7 linked regions of the Macaca fascicularis genome follow. The protein of the gene in region 2 purifies or fractionates together with the protein of the main gene of each other region. This does not show direct contact. Links are inferred from orthologs where the notes say so. Each region holds a gene or a part of one and is shown on either strand. Other genes may lie near its edges.

What was found.
Region 1: the proteins of CANX (region 2) and LNPEP purify together in Homo sapiens (affinity purification with mass spectrometry; 3 studies listed by BioGRID and IntAct, with this or other methods). This does not show direct contact. The link is inferred for Macaca fascicularis from reciprocal best matches to the Homo sapiens genes CANX and LNPEP.
Region 3: the proteins of CANX (region 2) and GXYLT1 purify together in Homo sapiens (affinity purification with mass spectrometry; 3 studies listed by BioGRID and IntAct, counting the BioPlex papers as one, with this or other methods). This does not show direct contact. The link is inferred for Macaca fascicularis from reciprocal best matches to the Homo sapiens genes CANX and GXYLT1.
Region 4: the proteins of CANX (region 2) and ERLIN2 purify together in Homo sapiens (affinity purification with mass spectrometry; 4 studies listed by BioGRID and IntAct, with this or other methods). This does not show direct contact. The link is inferred for Macaca fascicularis from reciprocal best matches to the Homo sapiens genes CANX and ERLIN2.
Region 5: the proteins of CANX (region 2) and LPA purify together in Homo sapiens (affinity purification with western blotting; 3 studies listed by BioGRID). This does not show direct contact. The link is inferred for Macaca fascicularis from reciprocal best matches to the Homo sapiens genes CANX and LPA.
Region 6: the proteins of CANX (region 2) and VCP purify together in Homo sapiens (affinity purification with mass spectrometry; 4 studies listed by BioGRID, with this or other methods). This does not show direct contact. The link is inferred for Macaca fascicularis from reciprocal best matches to the Homo sapiens genes CANX and VCP.
Region 7: the proteins of CANX (region 2) and GBA1 purify together in Homo sapiens (affinity purification with mass spectrometry; 3 studies listed by BioGRID and IntAct, with this or other methods). This does not show direct contact. The link is inferred for Macaca fascicularis from reciprocal best matches to the Homo sapiens genes CANX and GBA1.

The regions. Positions count from the first base shown.
Region 1 is NC_088380.1:100,992,402-100,996,491, forward strand, and holds part of LNPEP (leucyl-cystinyl aminopeptidase), read left to right. Parts: intron 1-1,110; coding exon 1,111-1,242; intron 1,243-3,776; coding exon 3,777-3,937; intron 3,938-4,090. UniProt on the Homo sapiens protein: Release of an N-terminal amino acid, cleaves before cysteine, leucine as well as other amino acids. Degrades peptide hormones such as oxytocin, vasopressin and angiotensin III, and plays a role in maintaining homeostasis during pregnancy.
Region 2 is NC_088380.1:186,599,295-186,603,384, forward strand, and holds part of CANX (calnexin), read left to right. Parts: intron 1-559; coding exon 560-686; intron 687-1,990; coding exon 1,991-2,070; intron 2,071-4,090. UniProt on the Homo sapiens protein: Calcium-binding protein that interacts with newly synthesized monoglucosylated glycoproteins in the endoplasmic reticulum. It may act in assisting protein assembly and/or in the retention within the ER of unassembled protein subunits.
Region 3 is NC_088385.1:48,670,423-48,674,512, reverse strand, and holds part of GXYLT1 (glucoside xylosyltransferase 1), read left to right. Parts: intron 1-1,132; coding exon 1,133-1,256; intron 1,257-1,550; coding exon 1,551-1,723; intron 1,724-4,090. UniProt on the Homo sapiens protein: Glycosyltransferase which elongates the O-linked glucose attached to EGF-like repeats in the extracellular domain of Notch proteins by catalyzing the addition of xylose.
Region 4 is NC_088382.1:41,113,734-41,117,823, forward strand, and holds part of ERLIN2 (erlin-2), read left to right. Parts: intron 1-1,416; coding exon 1,417-1,498; intron 1,499-2,811; coding exon 2,812-2,858; intron 2,859-4,090. UniProt on the Homo sapiens protein: Component of the ERLIN1/ERLIN2 complex which mediates the endoplasmic reticulum-associated degradation (ERAD) of inositol 1,4,5-trisphosphate receptors (IP3Rs) such as ITPR1.
Region 5 is NC_088378.1:10,362,295-10,367,150, reverse strand, and holds the start of LPA (apolipoprotein(a)), read right to left. Parts: upstream 2,992-4,856; 5' UTR 2,981-2,991; coding exon 2,604-2,980; intron 164-2,603; coding exon 57-163; intron 1-56. UniProt on the Homo sapiens protein: Apo(a) is the main constituent of lipoprotein(a) (Lp(a)). It has serine proteinase activity and is able of autoproteolysis. Inhibits tissue-type plasminogen activator 1. Lp(a) may be a ligand for megalin/Gp 330.
Region 6 is NC_088389.1:64,363,168-64,367,257, forward strand, and holds part of VCP (transitional endoplasmic reticulum ATPase), read left to right. Parts: intron 1-1,506; coding exon 1,507-1,618; intron 1,619-1,815; coding exon 1,816-1,988; intron 1,989-3,059; coding exon 3,060-3,202; intron 3,203-4,090. UniProt on the Homo sapiens protein: Necessary for the fragmentation of Golgi stacks during mitosis and for their reassembly after mitosis. Involved in the formation of the transitional endoplasmic reticulum (tER).
Region 7 is NC_088375.1:105,886,587-105,891,156, forward strand, and holds the start of GBA1 (lysosomal acid glucosylceramidase), read left to right. Parts: upstream 1-1,558; 5' UTR 1,559-1,718; intron 1,719-4,570. UniProt on the Homo sapiens protein: Glucosylceramidase that catalyzes, within the lysosomal compartment, the hydrolysis of glucosylceramides/GlcCers (such as beta-D-glucosyl-(1<->1')-N-acylsphing-4-enine) into free ceramides (such as N-acylsphing-4-enine) and glucose.

The sequences.
Region 1 (4,090 bases), about 86 Mb from region 2:
AAGGTGAAGTTAGGGAAAGGTAGAGAGCCTTTCATTTGTTTAAAATTAGGAATGTTACGTCGTTTTTGTTTTGTTAATGGGCATGTTACAGTATGGAGGGGAAAGTTGGTGATGCAGAAGAGAAAGGACTGTTGGGGACAACAACGAGTACTTACATTTATAGAACAAGTAATAGCTATGAAGCGTGATATAGAAATGAGTAATAGGTAATAATTTAGTATTTGTACAATAATCTTGACATTACTACATTTTAATCAAAAGTGAAATTCATTCAAAAACTACTAGAGTGCCTACCATGTAGTGGGCATTGTTTTAGTCATTGGAGTTGAGTTTTCACTTTTTCCTCTCAGTTAGCTTACAGTGTAGATGAGGAAATAAATGTGTAACAGATACAGGATGCCAAATAAACTGTATTGAAGATGGAGAAATGTGATTTCTATTTCAAACCAGGAAGGGCTTCACAGAGGAGGTGGTGCTTATTTCAGGATTGGGAAGGATGACATGTATATCAATGGATGTAGTGTGACCTTAATAGTATGCTTGCTGCCCTATACATTTGTTAGTTCCAAGCATTTGAAGTGACTCTGCAGGAAGAAAAGAGATTCTGGTTACTTCGCAACACAATATACTAAAATAAGAAATTAATGACATACCTAAAAGGGAGTCTTTTGAGAGCCTTGCCAATTTATTGTGTCTCCAGTAGTGTGTGCTCATGAATTCAATGGGTAATTTAAGCACTGGGGATGGAAGTGTGGATGCCACAGAAAATTTGCCATGTTTTTCTATTAAAATGTATTTATAAATACTTAGCTTTTCAACACTAACACCGAAACAGTGAGTATACCAATAGACCACACGGACTGGCTCCTGGTTAGAATAGTGCACATGGGAATCTACTCATTAATTCTTTTTCAAATCCTTTAAAACAATGTTAAGATAGTTGAACACAGTCCACATCTAGTTATAGCAGACTAAGTAGCAGTGTATTATAACTAAGTTCTACATATGGAAGTAAATTTTTAGAATGACTATAGTTTGAATTTTAGATTCCCAATTTGATAATCTATAGTATTCTATTATTTTCTTTTTCCTCACCTTTTTTTGGAGTAGGGAGCTTCTCTCTTGTTGATGCTGAAAACTTACCTTAGTGAAGATGTGTTTCAACATGCTGTTGTCCTTTACCTGCATAATCACAGCTATGCATCCATTCAGAGTGATGATCTGTGGGATAGTTTTAATGAGGTAAGTGACCTGGGTAATTTATTTAGCTCAGTAAAAAGAGACGAGTTCGTCTATTTATACTCTTTAGTATGTGTGTTAAGTTAATCTGTGGTACAAAGCATAGTTATTTAAGAAAGAGGGGGATGGAGCTTGCTATATAAATATTTATGAATGGAGCACTGAATTTTATGTCAAGAAATGAGAATGCTGTTCTTAGTTGTTGGAAAAAATGTGTGTGGACTTGGGTAGCCAGTTTTTTGTTTGTTTGTTTGTTTTTTCTGTACCTTAATTTCTATTCCTATTTTGTAGGAAAGTTGTCTTCTCCATATTAATGAATATTACTATATTTTTATTATTTGACTTTTTTTTTCAAAAATTTCTTTTCCTATCCTTACCCTTTTTTAGTTTTTCTGCCTCCTTTGAATGATTCTGTACTCTGCTCTGTGAATCTCTTGCCTTTGTGACTGTTCCTCCAGAGTAGATGATACTTCACAAGCTGACTGCATATTACACTTGGATGGTTTTGCTGTTGGAATTTTGTCATTCCTGGAAATATTCTAGCAAAAAATGTAATTATGTAGAAGTTACACTTCAAAGCAGCACATGAACCCGGGCTGCTTCATGCATGTATGCTGACTGCAAAACCCTTATAAGCATTTGCGTTTGTTACCCTGATTTAGATTGATGGGTCGTAATGCTTTAAAAGATTACAGACTTGACTGGGCGTGGTGGCTCACGCCTGTAATCCCAGCACTTTAGGAGGCCAAGACAGGCAGATCATGAGATCAGGAGTTTCGAGACCAGCCTGGCCAATATGGTGAAACCCCGCCTTCACTAAAAACAGAAAAATTAGCCAACGTGGTGGCACGCACCTGTATTATCAGCTACTTGGGAGGCTGAGGCAGGAGAATCATTTGAATCTGGGAAGCAGAGGTTGCAGTGAGCCAAGACTGCACCATTGCACTCCAGCCTGGGTGAGAGAGCAAGACTGTCTCAAAAAAAAAAAAAAAAAAAAGGAAAGATCAGATCGCAGACTTATTTGGAAATTTGATGAAAGTTCTGGCCATATTACTCAGAAAAACCACATATGTGCAGAACATCACACAGAGTTTCAAAGTTTTATTGACTCTAGGTTAGGAACCCCTACTCTGGATCTTTCTCATACATTCTTTCTGCTTCTTTGCCTCATCTGAATCCTGATATTTTCTAACTGTTAATCTTTTGCCCAGAAGATATATCTTCCCTACTCTCTGAATTCTCTTTGAGAACTTATTACCTAACAGTTGTTCCCAAATCATGGTTTTATTCCTCTGATATAGTAGCATTTCATTTGAAAGCCACATTGTTTACTTTATACTTACCCTCTTATCTGTTGGCATTTAGAACATATTTCTGCCTTTCTCATTGACTGCAACTTTTGCATCATGGTGTTTTTCTTTCCCAAACTAGTTCCTAACAGTATCCTCAGGTTTTTCAGCATCCACATCAAATTATGCATTGGCTTCTTCACTTCAATACTGCTTCGACACCCAAAAGCATCTTGATTTTAGGCAAGCTTATTTTCTTCTAATTCTCTGGTTCAGAAATAAATAGGTTAGGGCCATGATAAATATAAGATTAATTAAAATGGGAAGATTTGCTCCATCCTTTTGTGCTATAAATAAATGGGCATATGGTGATTGAGGTAAGGCCTGCTGTAGTAGAGTGATTTTATCAATTTAGGTACATCATGACTTTGTTGCTTACAATTCAAATTCATATATAAACTAGAAAAATAATTTGAATCCTAAGTTTAACCACCTGCTTTAAAGAGGCTGTTGTTCAAAAATTGCTTCTTATTTATTGATACTAGATGTCTTAGGGGCTTTGGGCCTTAGAGGGTCTGCAAAGCTCTGACACTAGGTTCTAGATTTTATAGATAACTTCATATATTTTCTGGGAAAGAAGGTCTGTGACCACCAAAGTAGTTTACCTCTGTTTTTGAGAAAGACTTAAGGCAACTGACCTGTTCATATGTCATTCTTCTGCTGCTGCCGCTGTTCCCTGGCACTCCCACAGTATTAGGTCCTAAGAGACTATCATTATGGAGGTGGAGGGTAGGAGCATAAAGAGAAACCCAGACTCAGGTGATTCACAGCATTGAGTAGCAATGATTCTGATTGTAGACTTATATCATTATTCGTATCTTCTAGATGATAGTATTGTGATTTGAAAGAATACTTATACCTTCTTAGGGATTTTAATATTGATGAATTTAGGGATTTTAATGAACTCTTAGTTGGTTGATACATGTGCGACTTCTCAACCTAGTGCCTCCCTCACTCCCTTAGCTATCACTTAGCTCTGTTCCAGGTTACATTCCTTTTAGCAGTTGCTCATTTACCTAGATTAGAGGTGTAAATTCAACATTCCTGTTTCTTTTTTATGTTAACATTAAATGTATTCTTTATAGGTGGTAGGAAAAGAGGGAAGCGTACAGATAAATTAAAATTAAATTTTTTTAAACCAATTTTTATTTTTAAGGAAAAAGAGTTTTATGTATATACATTTTATAGGTCACAAACCAAACACTAGATGTAAAGAGAATGATGAAAACCTGGACCCTGCAGAAAGGATTTCCTTTAGTGACTGTTCAAAAGAAAGGAAAGCAACTTTTTATACAACAAGAGAGATTCTTTTTAAATATGAAGCCTGAAATTCAGCCTTCAGATACAAGGTACATGCCCTCTTTCTTTTCATGCCATCTCTTTTGCACCCTCAGTGATCATAAGTTCTTATGAAACCTAACAAGATTATCCCTTCCTAGGAATAGCTTAACAAAGTTAACCTTCCTACCAATTTTTTTTTTAAAAAGAAAACCAACAAATCA
Region 2 (4,090 bases):
TAAAACTAGTCACTTGGCCAATAATCAGCTTTTCCTGCTGGCATACCTATTTCTATTATTTGAAATTCAGTCTTTGATTCCTCATTATCCATTTTGCCTTCACCTTCCCCACTCTGAAAACAGTATGTTGGGGTACCACAGCCTTATTGTTAGTTTTTCTTGTCTAGCCTTTTTTGCATGTGCTATCATAAAAAAAGGAAGTCTTATTTTGGCCCTCTACTTCTACTAAATGAGGATTATGCTTCATCTGGCATTCATAGCACTTTGTAACTGGATCCCAAGTTCCTTTTCCAGCCTTATCCTCTGACACTATTCTTTGTATCTGTGCCGCAGTCACCTTTTTTGACCCGTATTTTCCTGTCTGGCCCTTTTGTTTTTATTCTACCTTGAAACACGCATGTGCACACATGCTCTTCAGGGTAGGAATTACATCTTATTCGTTTTTATATATCTATCCCTGTATACAGCCTGGAACAGAACTTTGCCTGTAGGCATTCAGGAATTATATAACATAATACCTGAACATGTAAACAAAATTGTACTTTGGGGAACATTTCAGAAACAGACCAGTGCTATGGAGTATAAGAAAACTGATGCACCTCAGCCGGATGTGAAGGAAGAGGAAGAAGAGAAGGAAGAGGAAAAGGACAAGGGAGATGAGGAGGAGGAAGGAGAAGAGAAACTTGGTAAGAAATAGAGTCCAGAAAATCTGCTTTAAGCCAAGACCCTACGATGTCGTTAAACCTTTACAGTCAAGTTAAAGATTGTTTTTAGCCAGGCATGGTGGCTCAAGCCTGTAATCCTAGCACTTTGGGAGGTTGCAGCAGGAAAATCGCTTGAGCCCAGGAGTTTAAGGCTGTAGTCAGCCAGGATAGTGCCACTGTACTCCAGCTGAGCAACAGAGTGAGGTCCTCTCTCTCTCTTTTTTATGTTTATTTTGTATGTATGTATGTATGTATTTATTTATTTTGAGATGAAGTCTCGCTCTGTTGCCCAGGCTGGAGTGCAGTGGTGCGATCTCGGCTCACTGCACGCTCCGCCTCCTGGGTTGACACCATTCTCCTGCCTCAGCCTCCCAAGTAGCTGGGACTATAGGCGCCCGCCACTATGCCTGGCTAACTTTTTTGTATTTTTAGTAAAGACAGGGTTTCGCCGCATTATCCAGGATGGTCTCGATCTCCTGACCTCATGATCCACCCACCTCGGCCTCCCAAAGTGCCAGGATTACAGACGTGAGCCACTGCGCCCATCCTCTGTTTTTATTTTTTAAGACATGGTCCCACTCTGTCACTCAGGTTGGAATGCAATGGCACAATCACAGTTCACCACAGCCTCGAACTTATAGGCTCAAGTGATCCTCCTACCTCAGCCTCCCCCGTCCCCAAGTAGCTGGGACCACATGCCCAGCTGATTTATTATTTATTTATTTATTTGATGTGGTCTGGCCCTGTTGCCTAGGCTGGAGTGCAGTGGTGTGATCTTGGTTCACTGCAGCCTTTGCCTCCCGGATTCAAGCGATTCTCCCACCTGGGCCTCCCAAAGTGTTGGGATTACAGGCGTGAGCCACCACACCCAGCGAGATCCTGTCTCTTAAAAAAAAAATTATTGACCAGGCACGGTGGTTCACACCTGTAATTCCAGCACTTTGGGAGGCTGAGGCGAGTGGATCATGAGGTCAGGAGATCGAAACCATCCTGGCTAACACGGTAAAACCCCGTCTCTTCTAAAAATACAAAAATTTAGCCGGGCGTGGTGGCGGGTGCCTGTAGCCCCAGCTCCTTGGGAGGCTGAGGCAGGAGAACCGCTTGAACCTGGAGGCAGAGGTTGCAGTGAGCTGAGATCGCGCCACTGCACTCCAGCCTGGGTTGACAGAGCGAAACTCCGTCTCAAGAAAAAAAAAAGTGTTGTAGATCTAGAGATTTGTTCTAATGCTAATGTGTAATCACCAAAAATAGTCAGGTTTTGCTCAGTTGTTTAACTTTTGTCTCAGAAGAGAAACAGAAAAGTGATGCTGAAGAAGATGGTGGCACTGTCAGTCAAGAGGAGGAAGACAGAAAACCTAAAGCAGAGGTAAAGGAAAGGGGTCACACATTCTGTTTTTCCAAGTTTAAGGTACATTTATTTAAAGGGAATATTTTAATAGGGTAGTTTACAGTGGCTTATGGCAGTAAAAATTCTGTTAAAACCAATTTTGTTGAAGTGGAATTCTTTGTGATACTGGTCAGTGTTTTGTTTGATAATCTGAAGCTACGTCTGCCTCTCCAAAGTATCTTTTTAGCTGAAAATGATTTTCTGGAATAAGCAGAAGGTTGTAGGGGGATAATAAAATGCTTGCTAAGAAGGAAACTTCGGGTCATTAACAGTCTATTTGCCTCTCCTCACAGTGCCCTGAAAAGTATTTCTTATACAAATCACTGTGTTCTAAACTTTTTGTCCCCGTTATCCATAGATTGGTTCATTCATTCATTTACCTGATGTGTGTTGAGTGCCCATTTTGTTGCAGGCATTGTCAGTGAATAAGACAGACAAAGATACCCTGCCTTTAGGGAGCTGATATTCTACTTGGGGGAAACAGGCAGTGAGCAGTAAACATTGTAAGGAAGTAAACAACACAGCATATTAGGAAGTGAGAAACTATGAAAAATTAAAACAGGAAAAAGTATTAAAAGTGCTAGAGGTAGGGCGGGTCACCATGTTAAAAACCTTACTCGAAAGATGACACTGGACCAAAGACTTGAAAGAGATAGAGAACTTTTCCATGGGGATGTAAGTGGGAAGAGCATTCCAGGCAGAGAGAACAGCCAGTATTGAGAGCCTAAAGTGGTCTACAAAGCCAGTATTGTGAGTGGACAGACAGAGTGGAGAAGAGAAGGGTGGAGAAGGCTCCGGGTTAGACAGGCTGTTGTGTGGACTTGGCTTTCCCTCCTAGTGAAGCAGGCAACCATCACAGGCTACTGGACACAGTTGTCACAGGATGATGACTATCTGCTGTGTTTCCTATATACCAGTGAGAATCAGGGAGACCAGTTAGGAGGTTCCTGTAATCATCTAGGAAAGATATGGTGGCCCCAAAAAGGGTGACAGGAGAGGAACAGAGGGTATGAGAACTAGTTGGGGTTCTGGATCTTGGTTTTGTGGTGGATTGGATAGATATATAGAGTATGAGAGAAAGGGAACAGTCATTGTACCATTGCCCACTAAAGTCCTTCCCCCAGCACCTCTGTGTCTCAGTCTGGTCTCTCCTGGAAAGCTCTTCTCAGGTTTTACTTCCAGCTACAACTCTGCCTTCCTATTAATAAAGGTCATTGCTATCTGTATCTTTTGTATATTTTCAATGGATATGTTCTGTCTTAACTAGAATGCAGTTCTTTTTTTTTTTTTTTTTTTTTTTTTGAGACGGAGTCTCGCTCTGTCACCCAGGCTGGAGTGCAGTGGCCGGATCTCAGCTCACTGCAAGCTCCGCTTCCCGGGTTTACGCCATTCTCCTGCCTCAGCCTCCCCAGTAGCTGGGACTACAGGCGCCCGCCACCTCGCCCGGCTAGTTTTTTGTATTTTTTAGTAGAGACGGGGTTTCACCGTATTAACCAGGATGGTCTCGATCTCCCGACCTCGTGATCCGCCCGTCTCGGCCTCCCAAAGTGCTGGGATTACAGGCTTGAGCCACCGCGCCCAGCCCTAGAATGCAGTTCTTAAAAGTAGAGACCATGTTTCCCCCAAACTCCCTCACATGTTAAAAAGTTGCTGGCGCATTTAAAAAAAAAAAGGAGTATTTTCATAGGGTAATTTACAATCTTAGCAACTTGTGATAGAGTACAAAGAGCAGCAGCCTTGGAGTCAGTCTACTTGGATAGTCTTCCATCTTCATGAATCCTTGGTTTCTTACCCTCAGACTGGGGCGAGTGTGCGATAGGCCAGTAGATTGTTTGGGATTAAGCAAGATTAAGAAATCACTTAAGCAAGATGAAGAAACCACAGTGTCTGATCCCTTTTTAAGAATATGTTTATGGGTTAGATTGAGAAAAGTGTATGCTTATAGAAAACAATGAAGACTAAACTGAAGTAGGAATAATTCCACCACCTCTGAGACAAC
Region 3 (4,090 bases), on a different chromosome or scaffold from region 2:
GATATCCAAGAATAGGAAAATACTTTTGCTAGCAGGGTTGTAATTCTGATAGGAAAGCTTACAGTCATTAAAATGGGTTGGGTGAATCTGTTAGCTCTTCAATAGTATGAGAGGCATCAGGAGACTAGGGTCTCTTTCTTGGAGTGCAGTCGTAATATTGCCAAAGATGCCAGTCCTAACTTGCCTCCCTCTGGGACGGTGAGAGTTTATGGGACTACATACATCTGCTAGACTGGACCCAGTTATTTTCCTTAGCAAATCTTCTTTGACTTTGTATGTCATTCATGGTGCCTCTTTACAGAATTCTTTGCGTGCATTTTCTAATGTACAAGTAGCAACCTTTTAGAAGATAAAATGGAATCCTCTCAAAAGAGATAGTATACATAGGAACAAACTTGAAAGAAATTGGCAGTATATATGTATATACACACACATATATATATTTTTTAAATGTAATAAGATAAATGAACACTTAAATAAGTAGGAAGACATATTATGTTTTTGGATAGGAAAATCCATCATAAAAAGGCCAGTTCTCTATGAGAATTTTTTACTACAAGTAGACACAAAGCTCATAAATTTCTGCTGCTTTGTTCATCTTCCCCACTCCCTCTGCAGCCTTGATTTTTGTCAATCATACTGTTTTTTAGTGTTTAACTTTAGTTATGTATGCATTTTTTAACTTGATTTATCAATTTCAGAATGATCTATTTGAACTGCCAATTATAAAAGTTAAGCAAATCAATCTGAGAATAATAGCCATCATGGTAAAAAAATAATAATAGCTAACACTGAATATTTACCATGTGTCAGGTGCTATTCCAAGCACTTTAAATTTACATGTTAACAGTTTTAATCATCAACAACTCTGACGTAGGCACAGACATAGGTACCAAAACTATCTTCATTTTAAGATAAGGACACAGTTACTTTTGCTTTCTTTCCTGACTTACTAGTTTTATCACTGCCACATACAACTTCCTTTTGTTATCTTCTCTTTTACTGGAGAGCCCTTCTCACATTTAGGGTTGGAAATGTCACTTGATATTGTGAGGAGTTTGCATTTCTCTTTGTGGCTTTGTAATGGTTACTGTGGGTTACTGTAATATCTTTTGAATGTTTTTATCAACAGAATGATATGACAACTGTACGACTACAATGGGGAGATATACTTATGCCACTGCTTAAAAAATACAAACTGAACATCACATGGGGTGATCAAGATCTATTGAATATTGTGTTTTTTCATAATCCAGGTAATTATCTAAATTCCTTTTATTTGCATTAAAAAATCACAGATAATACTGAGTGAAAAAGGAAAACATGCACTTATCTGATTCTGTCTTATATTAATGATTATTGCTATTTATGTTTAAGACAGAGTAAAACTTTTCTTGAATTTTGCTTTAATTGGAAGAGATCTAAATGCCGAACATTTCTCATTAATTCTTACTTGTAAGAGCTGTATTTTTTAACTAAAAGTTTTGCATAATGTTACATTTGTGGAATTAGGGGTATTTGCTTCATTGTCTGGTCTTTTCTTTATGTAGAAAGCCTTTTTGTTTTTCCGTGTCAATGGAATTATCGACCAGATCATTGTATATATGGAAGCAATTGCCAAGAAGCAGAAGAAGAAGGAATCTTTATTCTTCATGGGAACAGAGGTGTTTACCATGACGATAAGCAACCAGCATTTAGAGCTGTTTATGAAGCACTAAGAAATGTAAGATTTGCCTTTTCTGTTTTTTTAACTTTGTGTTTGAAAATACTTTCAAGCTAATGGTTAGTTTACAAAAATAGTACAAAGAATTTTTATACACCCTCAGCCTCATCTGTTACTAACATTTTGCCTTATTTGCTTTGTCATTGATTCTCTCTCTACTTTTTTTTCTGAAAACAATGTAGTTGTTTTTTCAGAAAACTTAAATTTGATTGTAAGTTGCATACATTAAGGTCTTTTACCCCTAAAAACTTCGGTTTTTTTTTAAAACTAATTAAAGGACATTCTCTTATTAACCACAGTACATATATCAAGCTAGAAAATTTAATACTGATGGAATACATTAATCTGCCATCCATATGGCTTTACTCTCTTTGAACTAGAACAGTTTCTCAGTCTTTGTCTTATATGACATTGGCATATTTCGACAATAGAGCCTCTTCACCCCTTTTTTTTTCTTAGAATGTTCTTCATTTTGGCCTAATGCTTCCTTACAATTAGATTCAGGATATACATATCTGCTCAGAATACTCTATAGGTGGTGAGATGTCCTTCTCAGGCTCTCATAGTCATAGTCCCCTTTGTCTGCCCCTTGCTGGTGATGTTGATTTTGATCAGTCAGTCAAAATGTCGTTAATTTTCTCCACAGTGTAGTTATTTTTCCTTTTATAAGCAGCCTATGGGGAGAACCTTTTAAAATCATGTAAATATTCTGCTTCTCATTAAAATTTTCCTACAAGATTTAGCATCTGTTGTTGGTTCTTGCTCAAAACAATCTTCACTATGTTATTTGCAAATTGATGATTGTTCAATACTAGCATTCCTTCCACATACATCATTTGACACTTGGCATGCATCTGTAAGGAAGAGCTCTCCCTTTTGCACATATATTGACGTTTATATAATCAGTATGAACCCTTTGATACTTATTTTCTCCAGTGATTTATAATTCATTATTTCCTTCTAATTATGTTGATGCTAAAGTTGTTCCTGATATGGACACTGGGAGCCCCAGTGGCTACTTCTTGTGCCCCTTTGACATGTGCTCATGACTTTTTTTGAGTACCTCCTTTATTTTCTGTTCCAACAAAATATTCCAGGTTTATTTTATACTTTCCCTGCCCTACCCTTGAAATTAGTCATCTGTCAAAGGAGCTCTGCTTCCCTTTAGTAGGCTCTGGATGTTAAGCATGTTTATTGCTACCATGGTCTCATTGCTTCTGAGCTTTCTCAGTGGCAGAGCTAGGAAGTATAAGCATGCACACATGATGTTATGTGTTCACACCTGATTCTCTAATTCCAGGCCATTCTTCCAAGGCTCTTCTTTGCTTTCTTCTACTCTATATTTTATCTCCTTTCTTCCACAGTTAGAATCCTGACTTCTATCAATAACACATTTTCTCATTTGCTTAATCCTACAATTATTTAAAATAATTTCAGAAGTGTTCCATTCATACCATTGTCTCCACCCCCAAACCAACTTACTAAAAATGGCTTAGGATTTGTTTTCAGTCCTTCCTCTTCCTCTCCTCTGCTCCCAGACAAGGGTGTGTACTCAATACTGTATTCATAAGTTACTTGGATTAGTTCTTTTTTTCTGATCTTTCAGTGTGATTATTTCATTCATTTGAAATACAGTTGGATTCATTTGTTTCCATATGCTTTCAGTTTTAGTTTTTTTTCCCACTATCTTTGTTGATATAATTGCATTTTTTGATAGGGGGATATTAATACACTTCACAAAGTCAGAATTACATAAGGGTTTACTCTCATGTAACCTGTTATCTTAGCCCTTTCATTCTAACTGCCCCCTACCTCTATAGGGTACCAATTTCATCGTTTTCTGGTTTATCCTTCCTGTGTTTTTAATAAGATGAGCAGATGTATGTTTTGTAATTTCCATTTTTTTACACAAAAGGTAGTTTAGTGTATATCTTCCTTCATTCTTTGCTTTCTATACTTAAAATATTCTGGAGATATTTCTCTCTCTCTCTCTCTTTTTTTTTTTTTAAAAAAAAACAACTGTATGGTACTGTATTTTATGTATGTACCAGAGTTTATTCAACCATTCTCTATGTTTGGACATTTTGGTAGTTTCCAGTAGCTTGAATTATAAATAATGCAGCAATGTACAGTTAGCTGTGTCGTATATATATTTGTATTGTTGGAAGGCGAGTCTTCATGGTAAATTCCTGGAAGTGGGATTATTGGATTGAAATTATTACCTGTGTTCCTCCGTAGGGATTGTTTGTATTCCTGCCAATGATTTATGAGACAGTCTGTTCCCCACATCCTCATCAACAGAGTATAGTATTAGGCTTTTAAAATTTTGTCATTCTGATGGGTGAGAAATTGAATCTTAGTGTAGTT
Region 4 (4,090 bases), on a different chromosome or scaffold from region 2:
ATATAACTTGATTAGAAAGGTAACTCTATTGCCAAAACATATATTTCAATTACTTATAAAGTACTTCAAATTATTCTTTTGGTTGGTCATGTCAGTGGACTCCAGCATTAGTGCAGGTAGTTGATAACCACATTACTGGACTTAACTGCCCTTATGGATTACCACAAGCCCAACAGATATGACAAAGTAAAACAGACTTCATCTTCTTTTTTTTTTTTTTCTGAGACTCAGCCTGGCTCTGTTGCCCAGGCTAGAGTGCAGTGGCAAGATATCAGCTCGCTGCAACCTTCGCCTCCTGGGTTCAAGCAATTCTCTGCCTCAGCCTACCAAGTAGCTGGGATTACAGGCACCTGCCACCATGCCTGGCTAATTTTTGTATTTTTAGTAGAGACGGGGTTTCACCATGTTGGCCAGCCTGGCCTTGAACTCCTGACCTCGTAATCTACCCACCTCGGCTTCCCAAAGATTACAGGCGTGAGCCACTGCGCCTGGCCAGAGTGCCTGTTATCTAAGTATACCCATGGATTCCGCTGTCTTTTTTTTTTTTTTTTTTTTTTAAGACAGAGTCTCACTTTGTTGCCCAAGCTGGAGTGCAGTGGCACAATTATGGCTCACTACAGCCTCAACCTCCCAGGCTCAAGCAATTCTTACATCTCAGTCTCCCAAGTAGCTGGGACTATAGGCATGTAACCACCACACTCAGCTAATTTTTTTCCTTTTCTTTTTTTGTAGAGACAGGGTCTCACTGTTTGAGACAGGTTGGTCTCAAACTCCTGAGCTCATGCAATCCTCTCACCTCAGCCCCTCAAAGCGCTGGGACTGCACTAGCGGATTCTGCTGTCTTTTCTTTTTTTTTTTTTTTTTTTTTGAGACGGAGTCTCGCTCTGTCGCCCGGGCTGGAGTGCAGTGGCCGGATCTCAGCTCACTGCAAGCTCCGCCTCCCGGGTTTACGCCATTCTCCTGCCTCAGCCTCCCGAATAGCTGGGACTACAGGCGCCCGCCACCTCGCTCGGCTAGTTTTTTGTATTTTTTTTAGTAGAGACGGGGTTTCACCGTGTTAGCCAGGATGGTCCCGATCTCCTGACCTCGTGATCCGCCCGCCTCGGCCTCCCAGAGTGCTGGGATTACAGGCTTGAGCCACCGCGCCCAGCCTCTGCTGTCTTTATTCCATTTAGCCTGTGTGCCTATTTTTCTCATTGCAAAAGCATGAACAGTGGTTTTATGTTTTATCATCAGGCTTCCTAGAATATTAGGATCTAGCTGAGAGGAAGAAAGGGATCTGTGGCCATGGCTCCAGCACATGTCACTCTCTATTATGTGTTTATAGGGCTAAAGGGAAAGTTGACCCTCATGATATTGATCTAATAGAGCCTTCTTGCCAAACTGAAGCTGCCTGTCTCTCCCCCTCCTCTGCAGAGGTGGTGCCCTGCTGACTTCGACCAGCGGCCCTGGTTTCCATCTCATGCTGCCTTTCATCACATCATATAAGTCTGTGCAGGTATGCTTGTCCTCTGTGGTATGATTGGATGACTGCAAATTTGGGATGTTAACTAGTGCATGATTTGAAATTATTTAGCCATTGAATGAGTAAAATGCCATTCTAGAGAACAATATAAGGATAATTTTTATATATATATATGTTATATATATAAATATATTTTTTATATATATAATGAGGCTGGGGATTATTCCTTCAAGATAAAGCCAGAGAAGAACCTGTTTTGAGTATATGGAAGGAAAAGTCGGGGTGTATGTGTGTATGTTTTAAATCACAAGCTACCATGTTAGATGGAAAGAAAACATAGTAATTTTGCTGATTCTTATTTGAATTCAGAAATATGAACATAATTTTTGCAGTGAGTGGGGAGGAGTTGAACTAAGTGAGGGGAGGTGACATCTAAAATAGGAGTGAGGTTAGTTGTGGCAGATCAAAAGCCTGGCTAAGTTAGATTCGCCATCTCTGAAGTATGTCCAGCCAAGAAGAATAACAAGATTTTACACTTTACACTGATGCAGGAGAATGTCTTGGGATACCTGCTAGGCATTTTCCCTGTAAGTTTTGTGTGCTGTTTACCAGGCTTTGTGGCGTTCAAAGTGCATTCAGGTACATTGTCTCATTTGAGTCTTGTAGTAATCCTGAGAATGGGCTGGGCAGCTGTTAGGGTCTGAGACAGGTTAAGTAAGTAATCTGCTGTTTCAAAACTAGTACAGTAGCCCTCCCCCTTATCCATTATTTCACCTTCCACAGGCTCAGTTACCCACAATAAACCATGGTCTGAAAACAGGTGACTAGAGTACAATAAGATATTTTGAGAAAGAGACCACCTTCAAATAACTTTTATGATGGTATATTGTTATAATTGTTCTATTTTATTATTGTTGATCACTTACTATATCTAATTTATAAATTAAACTTTATCATAGGTATGTGCTATAGGGTTTGGTACTCTCCCCAGTTTCAAGCATCCACTGGGGGTCTTGGAACATATCCCCCTGAGGGGATAGACAGTGCCTACCATAAATAGAAGAGGTAGAAGCAAGCATAAGTCTTAAGGTGCCCAATCCAGTGTCGTCTTCACTAAACCATTATTACTCAGTTTGTTTGTGTGGTGGTTTACTTACAGCTGGGGCAGGGGCCTTTGCTTGGCTTAGCAACCCTATGAGGAAGGAGGATTAGGTGGGGTAATCATGTTTAATGAAGGCAATGCTCAACCCAAATGGTTATTCCAGGACAAAGGCATTTAGGATTCTGAAACGTAAGTTACTTTGTCACTGCCCATCTCTAGCACTTTATGTTTCCTCTGTTTCCAGACCACACTCCAGACAGATGAGGTGAAGAATGTACCTTGTGGGACTAGGTAAGGTACCCAGAATAAAGCTTTTAAGCCCAAATAAGTCAGAGAAAAGGCTATCTGGCTGGCTGCAGGAAGAGACAGTGAAAAGGGAGGCACCCTTTCTTGGTTAATTCCCTGTCTCGTAGCTCCCTATATTGATTTGACCAGGTGGTGGAGTGCAGTAGAGGAAATCACAGAAGGTTCAGGAGGGGCTAGAATGCCGTATGTAATAAGGAGTTTGCACTTATTCTATTATAAGTGAGGATTGGCCAGGCGCAGTGGCTCACACCTGTAATCCCGAGGCAGGCTGATCACGAGGTCAGGAGATCGAGACCATACTAGCCAACATGGTGAAACCCCGTCTCCACTAAAATACAAAAATTTAGCCAGGTGTGGTGGTACGCGCATGTAGTCCCAGCTACTAGGGAGGCTGAGGCAGGGGAATCACTTGAACCTGGGAGGCAGAGATTGCAGTGAGCCAAGATCATGCAGTTGCACTCCAGCCTGGCGACAGAGCGAGACTCCGTCTTTTAAAAAAAAAAAAAAAAGAAGTGAGGATCACTATTCACAACAACAAAGACATGGAATCAACCCAAATGCCCATCAACGATAGACAGGATAAAGAAAATGTGATACATATACACTATGGAATACTATGCAGCCATAAAAAGGAACAAGATCATGTCCTTTGCAGGGACATGGATGGAGCTGGAAGCCATTATCCTCAGCAAACTAGCGCAGGAACAGAAAACTAAGCACCACATGTTCTCACTTATAAGTGGGAGCTGAATGATGAGAACACATAGACACATGGAGGGGAACAACACACACTGGGGCCTGTCAGTGGATAGGAGGTGGGGAGAGGGAGAGCATCAGGAAGAATAGCTAATGGATGCTGAGCTTAATGCTTAGGTAATGGGATGATCTGAGCAGCAAACCACCATGGCACACATTTACCTATGTAACAAACCTGCACATCCTGCACATGTACCTCTGAACTTAAATGTCAGGAAAAAAAATAAAATTTTAATGTTAAAAACAAAAAAAAGAAGTGAGGACGCACAAAGGTTTTTAGCAGATAAATGACCTGATACAAGAAGATAACTTTTGCATAACTAAGGAGAATGTCATAAAGTTAGGGGAGACCTTCAGGGCAAAGAGATCCGAAGAGAACATTACTATAGCAGTCCCACTGGAAAGCAAAGAGAGTTTAAACTGGGATAGAGTAACAAAGAATACCACAGAGAAACACTCTG
Region 5 (4,856 bases), on a different chromosome or scaffold from region 2:
CACATGGACTGTAGGTCAAAACCAATTCGTTATGTGTGCAATGGAATTTATCTCACCTTGGGTTTCTCCCCAGCCAGTGACATAACATTCAGTCTGGTTGGCGACCACATAATTTGGGGATGGCAGACAAACTGGGATGACTTTGTCAGCGATGATGGCAGAACTGAAAGAAAAGCATCAGCAGTTAGGTTTGACTGCCCTGCTGGAAGTTGCAACACCCACAACCAGGCATCCCTTCTTTGAGGCCCCAGAGCCCTCTGAGCTGGCACTGCCTTGCTTCACTGACACAGAACAACGTAGAACATAGCGTTTCACTCTCACATTTGCCTGTGGTTGCCTACGGACTACACAGATATAAGATTTCATTTGAAAGGCATCAGTTGCATACAAGAAATTGCTGGTGGCCTTCACCTTTGAAAGTAGAGATGACAAAGGCACACTTCTCATGTATATTCTGTGCACAACTGGAATCTCACGCAGAGTGCATCCTTTTCCATTAATTGAATAGGGCATTGATCAGTACACAGAATGTCTGACTGAGACGCCACCAAGAGGCTGTAAAACTGCAAATGCATTTGTGTGCCCAGAGCAACTTGCTCCATCCTTGGATCCTCCATTTCCTCCTCAGTGAATGTTACTACACCATGGTTGTAAGAACCCAGTAAAATACTTGATACTAAATGAAAGTGTGAACATTGAGATGAATGTTTTCAAAGCTGCAACATGTATGGGGAGTCATGCAAACTGGTTCTGTTATTGGGAATGAAGTCTGTCACTGACTGCTTGACTTGAGCCCAGCCCAGGGGACACGGAGCAGAGTGCTGTATACCATGGAGTGAATCGGGCCATGGACGTGTAACACAAGACCAGCTGAGAGTCTGAATGTTATTCTGGGGCACATGTGAGTCTAGGACTGGTGCCAAGAGCATGTAAATAAACCACAAGCAAATATTGAAGGTGGACCACTTGTTTTTCATTGCTAATTGGCTGCCCAATTTTTAAACAGTCTACAGCACACACTGTCACATGGGAATGATGTTTTACAGTGACACATATTTAGAAGGGAGAGAAAGGATAAATATACATTTTTTACAATTTAAAATTTTCACTATTACCAAACAAAAATATCCACTCAAAATACAACTCAACAATGCAGCAGTCATCTAACAGCAAAGAAATGCAGAGAAAAGCAAAACCGCAGGTGACTATGAATAAAGGGTGAATGTAGTCTCAAATCCTCAAAGAGCTGTGTTTATTTCATTGATTCAGTGAATGAATAATTCATTCAATGAATGAAATGGATAAATACTCGTATTCAATTCTGATGTGCTTTAAGGATGAATATGCTCATTTTACACTTAGCACAGACTTTTGTGTATATTGTCCCCTGTCCTCTTTATAGAAAGTTTCTTCCTCACTGTTAAAGTTTCCCTTTGGTACCAATTTTCCCTGTCCACACAAAGTATTTCATTTAAAAAATCTCAGCATAAAATATACACTGAAAAGAGTCTGAAAGTACTATGTGAGCTCTGGCATCTCCATTGAGCTCACTGTTCCCCTGCAGTTGTTCTTTCCCCAGTAGCTGTTCCTTATTCTTCTTTCTTTGTGGAACCTCTCCCTGTGCATACACAGCTTTGTATTTAGCCAGAGACTTGAGGACTAATTTTTTTTTTTTTTTTTTTTTTCTCTGAGATGAAGTCTCACTCTTGTCGCCCAGGCTGGAGTGCAATGGCACAATCTTGGCTCACTGCAACCTTCATCTCCCGGATTCAAGCGATTCTCCTGCCTCAGGCGATCTGCCCATCTTGGCCTCCCAAAGTGCTGGGATTACAGGAGTGAGCCACTGCACCAGGCCTACTGCTTCTTTAAATAAGGGACATAAAATTTAAAGAGAAAATAGGAAGTACCTTCCCCCACTATAACTTATGAAGTAAGAAGCTAATTGATCATGTGGTAAAAAGGAACCAAATAAAAACTGTGTCTCAAAATATTAGGAGCACTGCTTCAGTGAAATCAGTTAAAGTAAATGCCCATATTAGTCATCCATTGATACACATACTTATTTTCCTAAGGGAATTCTCCACAATTCTGAAAATCAGTGAAAAGATCATCTCATGTTACTTCTACACAAAACCAAGCAGCGCATGTGGCTCTCCATGTTTCAGGGCATACGCATCCCTTTCCACCGGGGATCAATGTGCCCTGTGGAAAGCAACTTCTTGCCTTTTAAACTAAATTCAGTAAACAAAAATTGTTTTGTATAGCTGACATAGGATCACATCAATTGCACGAAAAAGATCAGTCTGTGGAAGGAACTTACAACGTTGAATGAGGCACGTTAAGAAGGCGTAACCCATCACATTGGCTTTTCTGCTGTTCCAATTTTTTTCTGGTCAAAAATACAGGTGCTAAGACTCCCTGAGTCCAGCAGATGTTAGAACAGAGAAAAGCAGAGGGCAGCCTCCTACAAAACATCTCCTACTCCTGCCAGTTTCTAATCCAGGGTCCAGGAGCTGGGGCATCCGGGCTCCCCGTGCCTGCTGTTGGAAACGGAAATGCCCTCCCTCAAACCCCACTTCTCTCAGGGGCTCCGACCCACCTACCTGAGGGTCAGTCCGGGAGCCAGCGTCTGGACAGAGCGGGGTCGCGCCCTGGAACACAGGGCAGGCGAGGAAGGAGAAAAGCCCAGCTGGCAGCGCAGGGGCGAGCGTCCTACCTTTCCCAGCGGCCTTGGCCTGACCACCCCAGCCCTGCGGGAGGGAGTCCGCCCACCCGCGCCCCCTCCATGTCTCCGCCCGTTCCCGCGCCCGGTGACCGCGCCCCCGCCTGCTGTCCCTTGCCACCGCCTCGTGTCCCTCAGACCGCGCCTCCGCCTGCTGTCCCTTGCCACCGCCTCGTGTCCCTCAGACCGCGCCTCCGCGGAGCGCAGGCGGCCTCGGTCCGGCCCCGCCTTGGACCCTCGCGCGCGCTCCAGAAGCATCAGTGTCCTCCGGGCGGTCACGGGCCTGCTGCGGCTCCCACCCTGGCGCCCCTGTGTTGCTCTCCCCACTCTCAGCCTCACGCCCCCCACTACTACCACCTCGTATTTTGCAGCCTCAGGACATGAACCGTCTGCTGGCTGAAGTCGCTTGGGCAGGTTTCTGGAGCCGGACACTCCCTCCCACCTGAGGCATGGACAAAGTGTGGGGTCTGCTGCCCCCTGCCGCCCCGGCTGACGTTCGCTCCTGTTTGCACGCTGCCCAGCAATGTTCCAACTGGAACATTTCAAAGGCAAGGCTGAGAATAAATGCTGTTTACAAATTCCAGAAAAGAAAAAAAAAGAAAAAACAATGTTGCTCTTCTGCTTAGCAATAGGTTTTCCCAGCCAAGCCAGCACTTCTGTGGGTTGTATTTAAGTCTTAAGTGCGTCAGAGCTGTTGCCTGCAGGCGCTGGTATTGTCCAATGGGGGAAGTTTGAGGACAGTGTCTCTGAAAACTCCAGGCTTTTGGATGAAGCAACCATTCCACATTAGGTATGTAACATAAGGACCTAGCAGAGGTCTCCTACGATTTACCCATCATGCAAAAGGACTGAGTCTCTGCAAAACAGGACTTTCAAAGAACCTTTTTCAGGAGAAGAGAATGTTGCAAGAGCTGATTCCTTGCCTATTTGTTTTTGACTTCACATCTAAACTGATAAAGGTATTTATGGGTATGGACAACAAATAATGAAAGGGATCAAAATAGGAATGTTTCATTCAGTTTAACCTGGCCCATGCAGTGCACTTCAGGTCCTAGACTCTGGTTTGAACTCTGCGATTTCTACCATTCCTTGGCTTTGTTTGTTTCATTGCTTGGACTTTCAGACTGATCAGAGTTCTGTGAATACAGTAGGTGCTCGATAAATGCTTATTCTGGGTACTACCATTGATGCCTGTGGCAGCGACTGCAGATGAGCAGGCTCCTGCAGCAGTGAGGCGTAGGGCTGGAGGGCCTGGCTCTGGCATCCAACCCTGCTCCATCTGCCACAGAAGCTGTGTGACTTTGGGGAAGCTATGAACCTCTGCTGAACTCTCAGTAAGATGAGAGTGTTAGTAATAGCACCTCCCTCATAGAGTCCGAGTGAGGAGTAAATCAAATAACCTGTGTAAAAGACCTACTTTGGTGCCTCGTATATGTGAAAACTACTCATGGGACAGGGGACTAGTATCCAGAATATACAAAGAAGTCAAACATCTCAACAGCAAAAAACCAACCCAATTAAAATATGGGCAAATGACCTGAGTAGACATGTCTCAAAGAAGACATACAAATGTCCAGTAAATGAATGAAAATGTGCTCAACATCACTAATCCTCAGAGAAATGCAAACCTAAACCACAATGAGCTACTATATCACCCCAGTAAGGATGGCTGTTATCAAAAAGACAAAAAAATAGCATGCTCGTGAGGATGCAGAAAAAAAGGGAAATTTCCTACACAGCAGGAATTTAAACTAGCGCAATCACTCTGGAGAACAGTATGGAGGTTCCTTAAAAAACTACAAATAGAAGTACCATATGATCCAGCAATCTCACTACTGGGCATTTATCCAACAGAATGTAAATCATTATATCAAAGAGTCATCTGAAGCCCCAGGTTCATTGCAGCTCTGTTCACAATAATCAAGACATGGAATCAACCTAGTTGTCTGACCACCAATGAATGGATAAAGAAAATGTGGTACACACATATCATGGAATACTATTCAGCCATAAAAAATAATGGAATCTTGTCATTCACAGTAACATGGGTGAAGTTAGAGGACATTATGTTAAATAAGCCAGGAACAGAAAGTTTAGCACTGCATGTTCTCACTCATATATGGCAGCTAAAACA
Region 6 (4,090 bases), on a different chromosome or scaffold from region 2:
TGAATTTGTTGAATGAAGAAATTCCTTTTAAAAATTTATTTTCTTTGGCTTCCTTCATTGTCTAGCCTTCCTACTTTGGTTAATGCTTATGTTTTCCTGAGCCTTACTAACAGGAGGCAGCTCTTAAAAAAGAGAGAGAGAGTGCTGGGTACGGTGGCTCACGCCTGTAGTCCCAGCACTTTGGGAGGCCGAGGTGGGCAGATCACTTGAGGTCAGGAGTTCGAGACCAGCCTGACCTCTAGTAAAAATGCAGAATTAGCTGGGCGTGGTGGCTCATGCCTGTAATCCCAGCTACTGGGAAGGCTGAGGCGGGAGAATCACTTGAACCTGGGAGGCGGAGCAGAGGTTGCAGTTAGCTGAGATCCCTTCATTGCATTCCAGCCTGTACAACAAGAGCGAAACTCCATCTCAAGAAAAAAAAAAAAAAGAGAGAGAGAGAGAACTTGAGTCTACTAAGTGACAGCTGGAGATGGGCTAGGTAATAAGTTGGTGTCACTGTCTGGTGAATGACCCTGTCTTGTAGGAAATAACAAACTGAGTATAGACCCAGTCAACTTTGATTTGGATGAGAGGGATTTGTATTTGCACAGTGTTTCAGCATTTCTTGGTTTTGGTTTTTTGAGCCAACTTTATGGAATTGTGTGCTTTTGCAGAAATTACTGTGAAGTTCCTTTTGACCTTGAGCCTCTTTCTGGCAGTTTCATGTCTGTTAGTGTTGTTTCCAAATATGATGGAAACCATATGATGATTTTTATGCTTGGCATTCCTTTGGTACTATGGAATGCCCTGGCATCAGTAGGTTTAGCCTATAAGGAGGGTAGCACCAATAATTCTGCTTCATTGTCCCCAGGCTTGCTTGGTAGGACTTGAGAGCTCCCTGAGCCTCAAGGGAAATTGTCTGGCTTACTTCATTCCCTGGAAAGTTAGCTTATGCTTTATACTGTTAATCATGGTGACTGTTATTACCATGTGCCAGCTATTATGTTAAGCATTTTACATTCATTATCTCCCTTAAGACAATAAGCCTCTGAGGTAAGTATTATAGTCTCTCTCTTATAGAGGAAGACATCAAAGTTCAGAGGTTAGGTAACTTGCCCAAGATCACAGTTAAGTAGTGGCAGAATTGGAATTCAGACCCAATGGGTCTGACTATTATAGAGTTCCTGCTCTTAACCACTCTTCTATAAGTCTAAGACTATTTTTATTTCTCTAATAACTCTTCAGTCTCCATTTCTATTATGTCTTCTTGGGGCAGGATCACTCACTTGGAGCCTTATAGCTGGGACACTGATGCTCAAAATACCAGGAGCTGCCGGAATGGGTATTGTAATATGTATGCTAGATACTGCTCCTCGTGACCTTGGCTGCCTTTCCTTCATCCGCGCTCTCTGGTCTAGGGACAGCTTCATCTATTCACTGTTTGTTTCCTAAGTATGAGTTTTAGAGACTGGTGAGGCCCTTGGGGCGGGAGTATCTACTGGGACTGACTCCATTTCCTGCTTCTAGTTCAAAAGGTGATGACCTATCAACAGCCATTCTCAAACAGAAGAACCGTCCCAATCGGTTAATTGTTGATGAAGCCATCAATGAGGACAACAGTGTGGTGTCCTTGTCCCAGGTAAGCTGGGGCCACAAACTAGTCTTTCCTTACTGCACTTACTTGAGGGATTTGCCCAGGTTTCTTTTCTCATTTTGCAGATATTTCTATTTGCAGACTGCAGATAGAGTGGGGTTTACTGGGAATCCCAATCTCGAGGGCTGTTGCTTACTCCCCTTCTGCCCAGTGACCCAAAGGCCTTAACTTTCTTTCCTCAGCCCAAGATGGATGAATTGCAGTTGTTCCGAGGTGACACAGTGTTGCTGAAAGGAAAGAAGAGACGAGAAGCTGTTTGCATCGTCCTTTCTGATGACACTTGTTCTGATGAGAAGATTCGGATGAATAGAGTTGTTCGGAATAACCTTCGTGTACGCCTAGGGGATGTCATCAGGTGTGTGGGGTTTTTGGCTCCACAGGGATGGGAGGCCAGAGATAGCCTGCATTACAGGCAGTACCCATGTATTACAGGCAGGACCAAGTTCTTGGAACCTGTCGATGCAGGAAGCCTGCTGGTCATGGGAAGACTTATGCTTCAGGATTGTCTTTAGGTTTTGGTTCTGCCTTCCTGGGACTTCAAAATCCATTTCTGCAGGTCGCTTGAGACAAATTGGCATTCCTGTAACTTTCTTGGTGCCTTTATTTTTTCCTACTAGAAGTGTAATTTATCATACTTATAGCCTAGCTTAGGATACCACTCGAGGGTGTGTATGTATCTGCCAAATAACCTCCTCACTACTCTCACTAGTATGTCCAATTAATGGCTTGCGTTGGGGTTGGAATGAGGTGGGGATATGGACATGGAAGGTGAGCTGCTAGCAGGCCTTTTAAGCCCCTAAGTGAACCCGGGAGAGAGGAATAGTTGGAGCCAGACCCAGGATAGTTCTCAATGTGAGTGATTTTGCTTGTTCTTGCATAATTTTAGGCAAGAGGTTGCCCCATCTTGGAGTCATCTCTAGCCACTCTTACCCAACCAACCATCACCTGGCCAGGATCATCTCAGGCTTTTGATTCTTTTTGATGGAGTCTAAGTTTCATGTAGCTTTCTTCTTGGGGGTGCTTAGTCACTTCCTCAAGGTGTTCTGAACACCTGGCTGAGATAATTTTGTTTTTTTCACTTCTGTTTCACTGACCCTGACAGTTGTTAGCTTAAGACCTTCCCTTGTAATATTGGGTCACCAATATTAGCTAGAAGGGGATCATCCTTGGATATCTCACTGAAGACCTTGCATATCTTTGTGGGGTTTCTAAATGTGTGGCTCTTGATTTTGGCTCACTGATTAGAAGTGAGTGGGGCTGTTCCTTTGCCCTCACTTCCACGGTGTTCTCCTTCCTCTCTTCACCTAAAGCCATCCTGCCTTTTCTTTTTCACTTACTATCAGCTATCTGTGCCAGGCCCTTTTGGACACCCAGTGCTTGGGCCCGAAGTGTGGTTGGTAATATGGAGTCTGCTTGTCATCCTCAGCATCCAGCCATGCCCTGATGTGAAGTACGGCAAACGTATCCACGTGCTGCCCATTGATGACACGGTGGAAGGCATTACTGGTAATCTCTTTGAGGTATACCTTAAGCCGTACTTCCTGGAAGCTTATCGACCCATCCGGAAAGGTGAGAGCTAATTCTGAGTTTAAGGATTATTGACTGTAGTTAATAAACCTTGGAACATCTTCGTCTCGTTTTCTTTCTTTTTTTTTTAATCTTTTATGCTTTTCTCCTGTATTTATTTATTTATTTTTTAAGAGATGGGGTCAGCTGGGCACCGTGGCTCACACCTATAACCCCAGCGATTTGGGAGGCTGAGGCGGGTGGATCACTTGAGGCCAGGAGTTCGAGACCAGCCTGGCCAACATGGCAAAACCGCATTGTGGGCACCTGTAATCCCAACGACCTGAGGGGCTGAGGCACAAGAATTGCTTGAACCCAAGAGGTGGAGGTTGCAGTGAGCCAAGACCAGGCCACTGTACTCCAGCCTGGGTGACAGAGCAAGACTCTGTCTCAAAAAAAAAAAAGAAATGGGGTCTCACTATGATGCCCACGCTGGTCTCAAACTGCTGGGCTCAAGTGACCCACCTGCCATGGCCTCCCAAAGTGCTGGGATTACAGGCATGAGCCGTCATGCCTAGTCTCATTTTCTTTTCTTTTTTTTTTATTTGAGACAGAGTCTCACTCTGTCCCCCAGGCTGGAGTGCAATGGTCCAATCTCAGCTCACTGCAACCTCCTCCTCCTGGGTTCAAGCAGTTCTCCTGCCTCAGCCTCCTGAGTAGCTGGGCTTATAGGCGTCTGCCACCACGCTCCGCTAATTTTTGTATTTTTAGTAGAGATGGGGTGTCACTGTGTTGGTCATGCTGGTCTTGAACTCGACCTCAGGTGAGCCACCGTGCCTGGCCGCTAGACTCATTTTCATATATTTGTATACACATGCATGCAAACCTTGCACACATATTCATATGTCTTACCCTGCTCCTTTCCTCCATCCTTCCCTGGCTCCCATCTCT
Region 7 (4,570 bases), on a different chromosome or scaffold from region 2:
GAATCATCTCCAAACTCCCAGAGACTACGGTCAGCTACAGTCTGGTCCACTTTCTATTCCAGCCAAATTTCCTCACAGCACAAGGATGTTTGCACCTGCTGTTTTCCAAGCACGAAACCTTTGGCCCCTATATCTGGTGCTGTCATCTAATGTCAGGTTTTAGCTCCATTCTTACCATTTCAGTAAGCACCCAATCCCCATCCCAGTCATTCTATCACATAGCCATGTTTTTTTGTTTGGTTTTGTCTTTTTTTTTTTTTGAGACGGAGTCTCACTCTGTCGCCCAGGCTGGAGTGCAGTGGCCGGATCTCAGCTCACTGCAAGCTCCGCCTCCCGGGTTCACGCCATTCTCCTGCCTCAGCCTCCCGAGTAGCTGGGACTACAGGCGCCCGCCGCCTCGCCCGGCTAATTTTTTGTATTTTTTAGTAGAGACGGGGTTTCACCATGTTAGCCAGGATGGTCTCGATCTCCTGACCTCGTGATCCGCCCGTCTCGGCCTCCCAAAGTGCTGGGATTACAGGCTTGAGCCACCGCGCCCGGCCGGTTTTGTCTTTTTTTGAAACAGGGTCTTGCTCTGTTACCCAGGCTGGAGTGCAGTGGTGTGATTTGGGTTCACTGCAATCTTCCACCTCCTGGGTTCAAGCAATTCTCCTGACTCAGCCTCCCGAGTAGCTGGGATTACAGGCACCCGTCCCCACGCCCGCCCAGCTAAGTTTTGTATTTTTACTAGAGATAGGGTTTCACTATGTTGGCCAGGCTGGTCTCAAACTCCTGACCTCAAGTAATCTGCCTGCCTCGGTCTCCCAAAGTGCTGGGATTACAGGTGTGACCCACCGCGCCTGGCCACATAGTCATGGTTTGAGCATGTATCACTATCTAACATTATTTTTTGTTTATATATTTGTGTTGTCCCATAGAATGTTAAGGTCCCAAGATCAGGGACTTGCTCATTGCACTGGCTCTAACACTCAGTATGTCCTCAACAAACACTCGTTAAGATACTAACGTGGCAGGGTGGGGCCTTGTAAACAGCTTCAGGACCCTGTGCTTTAGGAGCAACGTGGTGCCCTACAAGGAAGACAGGGAGGATGCAGGAGCACTGCCCAGAGATGGCGTCAGGCTGCAAGACTTCTTGAATAATTCACCATCATAACAACCCAGCCTCAGGAAGGGCTGGGGCACAGCCAGGACGAAATATTAGGAGGCGGCGGACACTGGGATTCCCACGGGGCAGCTTCTGGGCATTGGAAGTTCCCTAACCTGAGGCTCTCTAAAGAGGAAGGTTACGAATCCTCTGAACTTCGGTGGGCTGAACTCGCTGTGGGAATTCAATCGCCCCATCCACCACGGAGGCAAGAAATCGCCGACACGCATGTGTAGTTCTCGCGTTCTGGGCCCTCTCCCTTTCCAAATACGCTTGCGCCCCATCTGGGCTACGGCTGGCCAGCGAGAGTTGTCCGTCTTCAACTTGACCAATGAGACTTGTGAAAGGGCTCTGAGTCCCGCCTCTGGACGAGAGACCGTCTCTTTTCCAAGCGAGGCCCCGCCCCCCCTCCGCAGGGGTGCTTTTGTCGCGGCTGCGGGTGGTGGGGCTACATTCTGTCTTCCGCGTTTTACTGCGCGCGGCCCCAGTCTCCAGTCCCGCCCACGCGCCTTTGCAGCCTGTGGTGGGATTTCCTTTTGCCTCCGGTTGGGGCTGCTGTTTCTCTTCGCCGACGGTAGGCGTAATGAATATTTCGACCTTTGGATCTTAGCTGTCCCCTCCCTGCGTTCCCACTTAACCTTTTTCACCATTATTATTAATTTTTTTTTTTTTTTTTTTTGACGGAGTCTCGCCGTGTCGCCCAGGCTGCAGTGCAACGGCGCCTTCTTGGCTCACTGCAACCTCCACCTCCCGGGTTCAAGCCATTCTCCTACCTCAGCCTCCCAAGTACGTGGGATTATAGGCACCCCCCACCACCTACGGCTACTTTTTTGTATCTTTTGGTAGAGACGGGGTTTCACCATGTTGGTCAGGCTGGTCTCCAGTTCCTGACCTCGTGATCCGCCCGCCTTGGCCTCCCAAAGTGCTGTGATTATAGGCGTGAGCCACCGCGCCCGGCCAACCATCATTATTATTTTTAACGGTAAGGATGGTCAAATTTTACTAATGAAGAAGAGATTATAAAATCTTCAAGTCCTTATATCCACTTGCTTTTTGAGGGGTGGAGTGGGAAGAAGATTATATAATTCATGCATTCTTCAGACATGTGACAAACATTCACGGAGCGCGGCTACGAGCGCCGGGGTTGGGATGCACACTGGAGCTGCAGATGGGTGCCAGGATGGACTGGTCGCTACCCTGCCTGCTGACGATCAGGCCATTGTTTTTGATGAACTGGGTGCTATAACTGCCATTAAGCCATTTGTACAATTAATCACAACAGTGATAAGAGCGACAAAGGAGCTACTCGGGAGTCCAAGTCGGGAGGACCGCATGAGGCCCAGATTTCGAGACCAGCCTGAGCGATAGAGCAAGACACTGTCTCAAAAAAGGCGCGGCGAGAGGGGTGGTAGTGACAAAGATGTGAAGGCCAAGAGTTTGTGTTACAGGAGGTGTGGGGTTGGGGCCGCCTGGGGCGAGGTTCTTAGAGAAAGTTACATCCGGGCTGAATTCTGAAAGAATAAGTGTTAACTAGGCTAAGTGGTGGGGAAGAGTGGGGTGTGCTGAAGGAAGGGATGAAAACCCTGGCAAATCCATGGCAGGAGTAATTGGATGCTGGTATCCCTCCACACTCACCTTCTACGGTCTGATTTCTAAGCAGCAGCTAACGTGATCATTTAAAAATACACATCTGGGCCAAGTGCGGTGTCACAAGCCTGTAATCCCAGCACTTTGGGAGGCTAAGGCAAGTGGATCACCTGAGGTCAGGAGTTTGAGAGAAGCCTGGCCATCATGGTGAAACCCCGTCTCTACCAAAAATACAAAAATTAGCCGGGCATGGTGGTGTGCGCCTTTAATCCCAGCTACTTGGGAGGCTGAGGCAGGAGAATCACTTGAACCCAGGAAGTGGAAGTTGCAGTGAGCCGAGATCACGGTGCCACTGCACTCCAGCCTGGGTGACAGAGTGAGACTCTGTCTCAAAATAAGTAAATAAATAAAATAATAAAAATACACTTCTGATCTTGTCACTTCTCCTGCACCAAGTTCTACAGTGAATTTCCATCTTAGAACATAATTCAGATTACTGTGGCCACCAAGACCTACATGATCTGGCCTCCAGCTTCCTTCTCCAAGGTCTCTTTTTACTGCTGTCTGTCTCACTCACATTGCTCCAGGACTTTCTACACTTTCACTTTATTTTTCTTTGTTTTCTTTCTTTCTTTCTTTTTTTGAGACAGGGGTCTTGCTCTGTCACCTAGACTGGAGTGCAGTGGTGTGATCACGGCTCACTGCAGCCTCCGCCTTCTGGATTCAAGCAATTCTGCCTCAGCCTCCTGAGTAACAATACAGGCAGGCGCCACCAGGCCCAGCTAATTTTTGTACTTTTAGTAGAGACAGGGTTTCATCATGTTGTCCAAGCTGGTCTTGAACTCCTGACCTCAAGTGATCTGCCCACCTCGGCCTCCCAAAGCGCTGGGATTACAGGCGTGAACCACCGTGTCTGGCCCACTTTATTTTTCTTCTTAGCTATCACCTGAAATTATCTGGTTTTTTGTTTGTTTGTTTGTTTGTTTTTGTCTACCACCCCCACTACAACATAAACTCCATAACCACCTGGGACTTTATCATCTTATTCACTGCTGTATCCCAGAATTGAGAACAGTGACTGGCACATGGCAGACACCCAATTAATATTTGTTGAATGTGTGAATCAGAGAGGGCATAGTAGGGGCGCCTAACCCGGTCAGGGGTGTCAGGAAAATGGTTCTGGTAACAGTGATAGTAAGGCTAAGGCTTTAATGATGAGGAAGAGTAGTTACTCATTTTTTTTCAAGATGGGGAAGAAGAAAGGTTCAAAGCAGAGAGGGCAGCAGTGGCAAGATGGAGTGTGGCCTCTTGGAGGAGGTGATTTAAGCATGTGGCCAGTGGAGAGGTGGCTCATGCCTGTAATCCCAGCACTTTAGGAGGCCAAGTCAGGCAGATTGCTTGAGTCAGGGAATTTGAGACCAGCATGGGCAACCTATGGAGACCCCATTCCTACAAAAAAAAAAAAAAAAACGACTCCCATCTTTTGTAAAGATGGAGTCTCTCTGTGTTGGTTAGGTTGGTCATGAACTCCTGGCCTTAAGGGACCCTCTTGCCTCAGCTTCTTAAAATGATGGGGTTGGCCGAGCATTGTGGCTCACGCCTGTAATCCTAGCACTTTAGGAGGCCAAAGCAGGCAGATTGCTTGAGTCAAGGAATTTGAGACCAGGGTGGGCAACATATGGAGACCCCATTTCTACAAAAATATATATATTTGTAAAGACAGAGTCTCCCTGTTTTCGTCAGGCTGGTCATGAACTCCAGGCCTTAAGGGATCCTCTTGCCTCAGCTTCTTTTTTTTTTTTTTTTTTTGAGATGGAGTCTTGCTCTGTTGCCCAGACT